2 linked regions of the Arabidopsis thaliana genome follow. The protein of the gene in region 1 interacts with the protein of each later gene in a pairwise test. Each region holds a gene or a part of one and is shown in the gene's direction. Other genes may lie near its edges.

Region 1 (5,036 bases):
AATATCCCAAGCATAAATATATAATATGTCCAGTTTAGTGTCCACATATATGTTTTATGTTAATATATTTTGACAATTTGACATTTCTTTTTAATGTTAACGTACACCACACCTTACATGCCAACAACTCATAATTTCATGAATTTTCTCTGTGTAATTTCATCTGTAGATTACCAAACTCACTGCATTGTGAAGAAAATAACAAAGATTCATCAATTTTCTCTTGAATTTAACCTTGTACCAAAAAAAAAAATATTTTCTTTCAGAAGATTCAGTTTGTTTTTTTCAAACTTTTGGAAATGACATGTTCAAGATAAGAGTGTTATTATCACACAATCAAAACTTAAAGGAAAAAAAAACAGAAACAAAGATAATAATTTGAGAAAGCAGAGATGTCTAGCAAGCAGAGAAAAAAAACGACAGTTCGAAGATAACGAGGGCATTAGAAAGGGACACGTGGGTTAGAGGGTGGTCCTACGTAAACTGATTTTTTATCAGCAGTCCAGCTTGGCACTTGTGAGATTCTCTTCTGTGTTTGCAGATGAGTGGTGCCCACTTCTCAGAAATAATAGATATTATTCATACACGTGTCTATTTCAAAATGCCACTCAATAATAGTTGGTCTACTAACAACTTCAAATTTGAGAATTGAGTTGACACTATTCTAACCTCAACACTTTGTATCGTTGTATATGAACATCGATCACCCACTCTTATGGATGGTGGTTAAATAAACCGAAGTACAATAGTATTTTTTTTTATAAAAAAAATCCATACAAATTTAAACAAATTCAATAAATGTACTAATAATTTTAGTTTGAAGTTCTAACAATTAACAATGTAGACAAAGTGCCAAGACAAATTCCGTGGCCAATATATATAACTTGGTTTAGTTAAAACATTTGTTGGAATTAAAACATATTTTCAAAATTTCATGTTTTGGTGGAAGAAGTCGTTTTCACCTTTTAAATTTGTTTCAGACATGGAGTGATGTGTCATCTTGTTTAATATTATTGTCTACAGAATGTTACTAAAAGGTGAAAACCAAATCTTGATAAAGAAGTTAATTATAAAACAAAATCTTCCGGTTACATTTTTTTGGTTTTTTTGAATGTTATAGATTTGGTCAACTCTCTTAATTCATCCAATCACGCGTCGAAAGCTATAATAACACTTGGTTGCTTTTTTTTTTTTAATACAATTTTGTTTTTAAAACGTTTAGAACAAAAATAAAAAGAAGAAAAAGAAAGAGTGAAAAACGGCAGGGGTAAAAACGTCAAAGAAGAAATAGAGAGAGAGAGTGAAGAGGAGTACAACAGAATCCACGCGGAAAGACAGCTGTTCCCATGTTGGAATAACTGTGCGGGTCCCACTTTCATTACACTCACTCCTCTCGCACATCTTCTAATTTTCGCCGCCGTTACCGTCTTTGGAATTTTTTTTGGTTTACCACACTAATGTTACATTTTTCGTTAGAGATGATTTTGTTTTTTGATTACAACCTCCTACGACGTTTGAGTTATTGAGATTACTTTTATAAATTTCCTTACTCTGTTTCTTTGGGTCAACAATTCAAACAATGATGGTAATGGAGTGATCAATTGACAAAAAAAAAACACGAATCAAACAATGATCGATTATATAAAGCTGTTATGGTCTAATAACTGAATAATAAAATCATCATAAGTAAGGAACCAAATTCGAATACTCGCAATAAACCAATAATAGTAATTTAGTGGATAAAATAATAGTTATGGGTTCGGTGTCTTAAAGATTTGAGTTTGATCATCGTAATTCGTAAACCTTTGAAACATTTTCTGTTTTTTTCACAAACTTTTGGGAATATTTGTTTTGGCTTGACAAACTCTCCAAATAGCTCTTTCGTCGTTTAAAATCTCTTAGTTACAAAACAATGTATTGAGGTTTCGAACTCCCAAAACCAAACACAAGGGAAAGATGAAAACCATTAGGCCGATCAATTACTATTAAGTTATAACTAGCTAAATTACCAATAACGTGTATGGATTTATACCCAAAAAAATAAGTAAACGTGTATGAGTCTACGAGACAAATCGTGTCGGCTGTATTTTGACACCTTAGTCGCGAGGTAGGTCATACGTGCTGCATTATTAAATTCTTAATTTTGGTCGAATTAATTAGTAAATACTCCTAAATAATGACGTGGCAAATTCGGTGCAGGCCACAATTCTATTATAGTGAAGCACTAGAGTACAACAACAACACTTGTGCCTCTTCTTCTCTCTTCCTCATATTTATTACTCTCTCTTTCACAAACACACAGAAAATAAATAAATAAAATTAATTAATGTGAGAAAATCAATTCAAAAATTTGGACATACGTATCATCTGAGAGAAGAAGGGTTTGGTGAATACCGGCGGGTGGAACCGACGGCGATGGCGAAGACCGGTGTTTTCGATTCGGATCCGACGGCGATTGCTAAAGCCAAGGAACTGAAGCGTGAGATGAAGAAGTTGCTGATTAAGATCGATGACGAAGATGATTTGGGTGTTCAGACGATTGATCAGTTACAGGACGCTTTGTCTGCGTTGAGAGAAGCGACGATGAGGAAGATGGCGAAATCTTCCTCGTTAGAGATGCTCGAGACTGTGTCTTGTCCTGAGGAGTTTCGTTGTCCTCTCTCTAATGAGCTTATGAGGGATCCCGTCGTTTTGGCTTCTGGTCAGGTTTGTGAACGTCGCATTTCGATTCAATTCTTCTTCTTCTAGGGTTTTGAATTTTGCTGTTTCTGTGTTAGGTGACTGAAAATTTTGGATTTTTGGGGGAATTTTGATTGGCTTGAAACTTTTTCATCTGTTTTCTCGACCCGACTGAGAGAATCCGACTCAGGTTTCATAAAGTTCTTGTTTTGTCGGTAGTTTCGGTAATGATTTTCGAAACGATGAAATCTGGAGATTTTATCATGTAAATGAAAAAAGTGATTTTTAGAGGATAATTATGTGTTCCTTAGCTTGTTTAATAAATCTGGAAAGCATATAACTAAAAATTTATATATTTGTGTGTGATTTTGCAGACATACGACAAGTTATTTATCCAGAAATGGTTGAGCTCAGGGAACAGAACATGTCCCAAGACTCAGCAAGTTCTGCCTCACACGGCTTTAACACCTAATCTCTTAATCCGTGAAATGATCTCGAAATGGTGCAAGAAGAACGGGCTTGAGACGAAGAGCCAATATCATCCCAACCTTGTAAATGAAGATGAAACTGTGACAAGATCAGATCGTGAGATTTTCAATTCCTTGCTCTGTAAAGTCTCTTCTTCGAACCTTCAAGATCAAAAATCAGCTGCCAAGGAGCTAAGACTTCTGACCAGGAAAGGCACTGAGTTCCGAGCTCTTTTTGGCGAATCTCCGGATGAGATCACCAGGTTGGTGAATCCCTTGTTACACGGGTCAAACCCAGATGAGAAGCTTCAAGAAGATGTGGTTACAACATTGTTGAACATATCAATACATGATGACAGCAACAAGAAGCTCGTCTGCGAAAATCCTAATGTGATTCCTCTCCTTATCGATGCATTGAGGCGTGGAACAGTCGCCACGAGAAGCAATGCAGCTGCAGCGATCTTCACTCTGTCAGCTCTCGATTCAAACAAAGTACTTATAGGGAAGTCCGGAATCCTGAAACCGCTTATCGATCTCCTAGAAGAAGGGAATCCATTAGCTATCAAAGACGTAGCTGCAGCGATCTTCACTCTTTGTATAGCCCATGAGAACAGGAGTAGAGCTGTGAGAGACGGAGCTGTTAGGGTTTTAGGTAAGAAAATCTCGAATGGGTTGTACGTTGATGAGCTTTTAGCTATATTGGCAATGCTTGTTACTCACTGGAAGGCTGTGGAGGAATTGGGTGAGCTCGGTGGGGTTTCATGGTTGCTGAAGATAACTCGAGAGAGCGAGTGCAAGCGAAACAAAGAGAATGCGATAGTGATACTGCATACTATATGTTTCAGCGACAGGACAAAGTGGAAGGAGATCAAAGAAGAGGAGAATGCTCATGGAACGATAACAAAGCTTTCGCGTGAAGGAACTTCAAGGGCGCAGAGGAAAGCAAACGGGATATTGGACAGACTGAGAAAAGCTATGAATCTCACTCATACAGCCTGAGAAAAGCCTTGAAATCTGCAATGTAAATTACCTAAAATCTTGTTTCTTTTTTTTACTTTATTTGGCTGTAAGAATTTTTGTAAATTATTCATATCTTTAGGATCTGAATGGTTATTGGTTTTCGTATGTGAGATGTAAGTAGAAATCTGTGTGAATAGTTTTTGCGTTTGATGTTTCTGGAGAAATCAATCAATAAAATCAATGTTGGTGGCTTTATTCAGCTGTGAAAGCCTTGGTCAACAAGTAACAGTGTGTAGCTTTTCGTCTGTTTCTGTGTATAAATAAGTAGATTATTAAAAATACATAGAAAGGCTGTCATGTCGTGTTCCTCACATCACTGATAAACCACAAAGCAAATCAATCTAATTCCACTCTCTCTGGAAAAAGAGTTTATTACAGAGTCACGAGTTTTCCATTGATGTGATTTTTTCTCTATGTAATGTAACGTGACGATGTGATTCCTATTGTCGTGTTAGAAAAAAACAGTACTTTTAAGTTTATTTATATATAAATAAATACTCATCAAAGCTTATAAATAAATTTCGACTATCACTGATGAATTATAAGTTTTGTTAGAAAACATAACGGAGTAGTTTTGTAATATATTTCTAAAAAATGTTCTAGACAAGGCAAGAAGCATGTAAGTAATGATAAAAATCACATGTATTTGGTTGGTTGGATTGCTTGGAAGTTAGAATTGAATCACGAAATTGCTAAAACTCGTGATTCGTAATAATTACAGGTCAACATATCGTGAGAAAGTTGAAAAAATGGAATATTTAATAGAGAGGATAGAATATGGATTCGTCCTAAACCACTCTTTGGTGTTATTCCTCACCAAACTTTCACAGAAAAGCCAAGAAAAGAAAGAATTTGATGCTTTCTTTTTAA
Region 2 (6,242 bases), on another chromosome or scaffold:
GAGAACCATTGATCATTGAAAGGTAAAGTAAGGTTTTTTCTTCTTTGTTCTTTTTGGTAAACAACGTCTTAGGATTTTGAGATTCGCAATGAAAAACCCTAAATTCTAACGTTGGCTTGAACATTAGAGCGTGTGGCAACGAAATTTGAAGATGATGCAATGAAATTTTAGCCGCTTACTTTGAATTCGAGTTGTTGTTGTCAGAGTTTGATTACTTCGAGACGAAGAAGGGTTTGGTTTTGGGAGACAGGAACAGAGGTTTCTTTTAGAAGGACATGGATGAGTAAGGATTTGGAGGGAAAGGAGGAGAAGAAGTAATTAACTAAAATGGTAAAATTTTGGGGCTTTCTTGAGTTATTTGTTTACTTACGGGTCTACTATGTAAAGTAATTACGTTTCGTATTTAACCGGTTTACACGCTTTCGCAATCTAGCCTATCTACGCCATAAGCTAAACATGACTAGATAGTCCTATAAGGCTATGACAATAATGTTAATTTAAAAAAAGAGGATGTGTTCGTGGATGTTTTAGAGAGAAGCTAGAGAAGAAGAAAGCAATAGAATTTAGTATATTCTAAAATCTATTTCTATTTTTTTTTGCATTTGCATAGTCTTCAACATTAATAATAATTATTTGTATTGACAAAATTTTCATAAAATAAAATCTATGTCAAATAATATTATAAAGACAAAATTTTACACAATAATACAAAATTATATATGAATTAGAAAAAAATGTTGAAGGTAATATAGCAGTTAACAATTTCTTGATTCATTTAAAGAGAGAGTGCATCAATTAAGAGCAAATGTTATGAGATGGCTCAATTCTATGCAAAAATAAAAAGATAAAGTTCTAAAAATATAAAGCATGGAAATAAAATATTGATAACTCCTTCAAGTGGTATTGATGAGTTTATACGATCTGAACAAGTAAGAATCATACAAAACAAATCAAGAATAACAACAACCTATGATTGCACCTAATATTTATTGACAATATTTTGGTGACTTTAAAGGAATTGTACGTTGTAAAATCGTTTATGTAACAAGTCTCATTATTTGTAATAAATAATAAATTTTATAACTAAATTTTATAAATAATAAAACAGAAGGGCCCATAAATATTTTGTGTATTGCTTTTGTTTTTAATAACTAAATTTTATTAGAACTGTCATACAATTTTTTTTAAATAATGTAAAATCTTTAAAAGAAATTTATAAGGGCAGCCAAAAAACAATTTTGTTCTAGAACCCATGATAGAATTGAACCGGTCATGATGCGATGGCCAGTACACACAGCACTACGAATACGAAGCTCTGCCAAACAAATGTCATTTTGTAGTCTAAGGTTAATGATTTACTTGTCTAGCGAATGAAATAGTTGAAGCTTGGTGGTGTAAGTTAATTTCTTTCATGAATTGATATTCGTAGGAAAGGAAAGAAAACCAAAAAAAAAAGATTATTTATAACGAGAAAAACACAAATTAGTTTTATATCTCTCTGAGACACGCATAGGCCTGGCCACACACACACACAAATAAGGAGTGTTGACGAGATTTGTTTCTTTTTTGCGTAAACGAAGAAAGGTCAGTTACTAAGAAAATTACAAAAACACTGATAAGTAAATGTCTATCTAACGAGTTATTTTCTTGTCATTTGCTAGGTCAACTCTATAGTGACAGAGTCTATAGATATTTCAAATGCGAACAAGAAGACCAAGAAAACCAAGAAAACCAAGAAAAGACAGCCGAAAATGAAATATCATCAACAATGTAATATACAGAGTAATCGTGTAAATAACGGCACACATCAACAATAATATGAATCTCCGAAGATAAAAATTCTCAAATTCTCATAAAATTCCCTCAAGAAGAAAGAAAACAGAACACGAGAAACTGTCCTAGAGAGAGATGAGAAGTGTACCAAACTACCACCATTCTTTCTTCATTTTCCTCATTTTAATTCTGTTTCTTGCTTTCTCTGTTTCTCCAAACACTCTTTCAGCCACAGAATCTCTCACTATCTCAAGCAACAAAACCATTATATCTCCTAGTCAAATCTTCGAGCTCGGTTTCTTCAATCCCGCATCAAGTTCGCGTTGGTATCTCGGCATATGGTACAAGATAATCCCTATAAGAACCTACGTATGGGTTGCAAACAGAGACAATCCTCTCTCTAGCTCCAACGGAACTCTCAAAATATCCGGCAATAACCTCGTCATTTTCGATCAGTCCGATAGGCCTGTTTGGTCGACGAATATAACCGGAGGAGATGTGAGATCACCAGTGGCTGCAGAGCTTCTTGATAACGGTAATTTCTTGCTCAGAGACTCCAATAACAGACTTCTATGGCAGAGTTTCGATTTTCCGACAGATACTTTACTTGCGGAGATGAAATTGGGATGGGATCAGAAAACCGGATTCAACAGGATCTTGAGATCCTGGAAAACAACAGATGATCCATCAAGCGGTGAGTTTTCGACAAAACTCGAAACCAGCGAGTTCCCTGAGTTTTACATATGCAGCAAGGAGTCGATACTATACCGCAGCGGTCCATGGAATGGAATGCGTTTTAGCAGCGTACCAGGGACAATTCAAGTTGATTACATGGTTTACAATTTCACAGCAAGTAAGGAGGAAGTGACTTACTCATACCGAATCAACAAAACAAACTTATACTCGAGATTATACTTAAACTCTGCGGGTTTATTACAACGATTGACTTGGTTTGAGACAACACAGAGTTGGAAGCAACTATGGTACTCACCGAAGGACCTATGCGATAACTACAAAGTGTGCGGGAATTTCGGTTATTGCGACTCGAACAGTTTACCAAATTGTTATTGTATCAAAGGGTTTAAGCCAGTGAATGAGCAAGCGTGGGACTTGAGAGATGGCTCCGCTGGTTGCATGAGGAAGACGAGGCTGAGCTGTGACGGTAGAGATGGTTTTACCCGGTTGAAGAGGATGAAATTGCCAGATACCACGGCGACAATTGTGGACAGAGAAATTGGGTTGAAAGTATGTAAAGAAAGGTGTCTAGAAGATTGTAATTGCACTGCGTTCGCTAATGCGGATATTCGCAATGGCGGGTCTGGTTGTGTGATTTGGACCAGAGAGATTTTGGATATGCGAAATTATGCTAAGGGAGGTCAGGATCTTTACGTTAGACTAGCCGCTGCTGAACTCGGTTAGTTTCTTTCTTATTTGCATTTACTAAAGTGGTTCTTACTTTTTGTTTTGATTAAAAAGTTATGACCCAAAGTCAATATATCTTCCCAATCTGCGGACCAAGTCATGTAATATTGTCCCTCTCGAAGCAAAGTTCAAACTCCCTAATCTATAGAGGCTTTGGTCAACAAAGTACATTCTTGATGTTTGGTCAATTTGTTTAGTTTTTTTTTTTTGTCATCTGTTTTTAATTAGAGATCAAAAGATTAATAAGAGTTTAGCTAGATCCAATACCATTATACCAAAAAGAATTTTTGTTTAAGTTAAATTAATTATTTTGTTTATTTTTCGTATTAATTTTTTTTAATCAAACGTACAACAAAGGATATTTTTCGTATAGAAGTAAATATATGCCTCGTTTTTATTGCAGAGGACAAGAGAATCAAAAATGAAAAAATTATAGGTTCGAGTATTGGAGTGAGCATTTTGCTTCTTTTAAGTTTTGTCATCTTCCATTTTTGGAAAAGGAAGCAGAAGCGATCAATAACAATTCAAACACCTAATGGTAAAATAAATCATTAGCTTTCATTTCCTTTATTTTTGTCAATAAATTTTGATAATCAAATGTCTTGATTGTTTTTTTTTTTTTTAACGCCTGAATGAAACAGTTGATCAAGTGAGAAGCCAAGACTCGCTAATCAACGATGTGGTAGTATCTAGGAGGGGTTACACATCCAAAGAAAAAAAAAGTGAGTACCTAGAGCTTCCATTGTTGGAGTTGGAAGCTCTTGCCACGGCAACAAACAATTTTTCTAACGACAACAAGCTTGGACAAGGTGGATTCGGAATTGTTTACAAGGTAAAAGTGATTCAAAACATATTGAAAATCTACCACAGCACATGGTTTCATTGTATAATCACATGTGTGGTAATAGGGAAGATTACTTGACGGAAAAGAAATTGCGGTAAAGAGACTATCGAAAATGTCCTCACAAGGGACCGATGAGTTCATGAACGAGGTTAGATTAATTGCAAAGCTTCAGCACATAAACCTTGTCCGGCTTCTAGGTTGTTGCGTCGATAAGGGTGAGAAGATGTTGATCTATGAGTACTTGGAGAATTTAAGCCTTGACTCGCATCTCTTTGGTTAGTGACTCAAACAGCTTCTGTTCTAATAATTGAACATTTTTGTGAAAACGTTAACTTGTTGTTGGTTGTGTTGGATGTGTAGACCAAACACGAAGCTCTAACTTAAATTGGCAAAAGAGATTTGATATTATCAATGGTATTGCTAGAGGACTTCTATATCTTCACCAAGATTCACGGTGTAGGATTATCCATAGAGACTTGAAAGCAAGTAACGTATTGCTTGATAAAAATATGACTCCAAAGATCTCGGATTTCGGTATGGCGAGGATCTTTGGACGGGAGGAGACAGAGGCTAATACAAGGAGGGTGGTCGGAACTTAGTAAGCAATCATTCTTCAACAAAACAAAAAAAGAGCTTTTATCTCAAGTCCAAATATTTTCTTAAAAACCTCATAACATATGAGTTTATATTTTGTTATGCAGCGGCTACATGTCTCCAGAATATGCAATGGACGGGATATTCTCGATGAAGTCGGATGTTTTCAGCTTTGGGGTCTTGCTTCTAGAGATTATAAGTGGAAAAAGAAACAAAGGATTCTACAACTCAAACCGTGATCTTAATCTCCTCGGTTTTGTAAGCTAAAAACCTCTTCAATTCGATATTGTTTTGCATTCATAATCTGATTATAACACTAAAGAAATATTACATCCTTTATGCACAGGTGTGGAGGCATTGGAAGGAAGGAAACGAGCTAGAGATTGTAGATCCGATCAACATCGATTCTTTGTCATCAAAGTTCCCGACACATGAAATCTTAAGATGTATACAAATTGGTCTCTTGTGTGTTCAAGAACGAGCCGAAGACAGACCAGTGATGTCCTCGGTAATGGTGATGCTTGGAAGCGAAACTACCGCTATTCCTCAGCCTAAACGTCCTGGATTTTGCATTGGTAGAAGTCCTCTTGAGGCTGATTCTTCTTCAAGTACACAGCGCGACGATGAATGTACAGTGAACCAAATCACTCTCTCGGTCATTGACGCTCGGTAATTTGTAACTTACGGCCCAATCTGTTTACATGCATATCATTTTATAGGTAAGTCTAAATAGATTTTATTACTACATATATGATTCGATATCTTGCTCTATCTAATTTAATTTAGACAAAAGATTCACCACATGTTTCACATGATTTTGATTTAGAGCGAGAATTATAAAAAAAAAACATTTAGACAAAGACAAAAAAATGCAAGATTTGGAGTTGTCACTCCAAGATTTGAAGTTTGAGACCGAAACTCAATTAAGTGGGAATTCAGTAATGATTAATATTCACTTTTTGTACATACTACTGATAATAGACCAATACTGGAAGCGAACATAGGACTTTATGGCTATTACAACAGAGGACTTTATGAAACAAATCGAATATATACCTTAAACTTTTATGAATTCATCGGTGAAGCATTCTCTTGCATATAACATTTAGTATGTCGCCAGCAACATTGAAATTTTGTCTATTCTCGTACACACACACACAAATGGTTGAGGATATTATTTTTTTGGAGTAAACGAAGAAAAGTCAGTTACTAGGAAATTACAAAACCATAATTATCAATTTAACGACTTTTAAGGTCATTGACTCAATTCTATAGTGACATAGTCTATAGATATTTCAAAAGCGAACAAGAAGACCAAGAAAATGTAGCTGAAAATGAAATATTATCAACAATAGAGAGAAATCGTGTAAATGACGTTCACACATTTCAACACCAAACATGTCGTAATCTCCGAAGATAAAAATTCTCAATTATATGTACATAAAATTTTCATAAGAAGAAAATAAAACAGAACACAAGAAAGTGTCCTAGCTAGAGAGAGAGAGAGAGATGAGAAATGTACCAAACTATCATCATTCTTACTTCATATTATTCATCATAATTCTGTTTCTTGCTTTCTCTGTTTATGCAAGCAACTTTTCAGCCACAG

The links.
Region 2: the proteins of PUB9 (region 1) and RK1 interact in a two-hybrid assay, tested with the Arabidopsis thaliana proteins (one study listed by BioGRID).

Annotation. Positions count from the first base shown.
Region 1 is NC_003074.8:2,352,469-2,357,504, forward strand, and holds PUB9 (plant U-box 9), read left to right. Parts: upstream 1-2,171; 5' UTR 2,172-2,415; coding exon 2,416-2,706; exon of another isoform or gene 2,707-3,053; coding exon 3,054-4,145; 3' UTR 4,146-4,397; downstream 4,398-5,036. UniProt on the Arabidopsis thaliana protein: Functions as an E3 ubiquitin ligase. May be involved in the abscisic acid-mediated signaling pathway, at least during germination.
Region 2 is NC_003070.9:24,467,024-24,473,265, forward strand, and holds RK1 (receptor kinase 1), read left to right. Parts: upstream 1-1,758; 5' UTR 1,759-1,908; coding exon 1,909-3,187; intron 3,188-3,598; coding exon 3,599-3,733; intron 3,734-3,836; coding exon 3,837-4,027; intron 4,028-4,103; coding exon 4,104-4,314; coding exon of another isoform or gene 4,315-4,319; exon of another isoform or gene 4,320-4,399; coding exon 4,400-4,637; intron 4,638-4,740; coding exon 4,741-4,891; intron 4,892-4,979; coding exon 4,980-5,306; 3' UTR 5,307-5,449; downstream 5,450-6,242. Other genes in the region: RK2 (receptor kinase 2), read left to right, coding at 6,143-6,242. UniProt on the Arabidopsis thaliana protein: Involved in the regulation of cellular expansion and differentiation. Mediates subcellular relocalization of PUB9 from nucleus to plasma membrane in a protein-phosphorylation-dependent manner.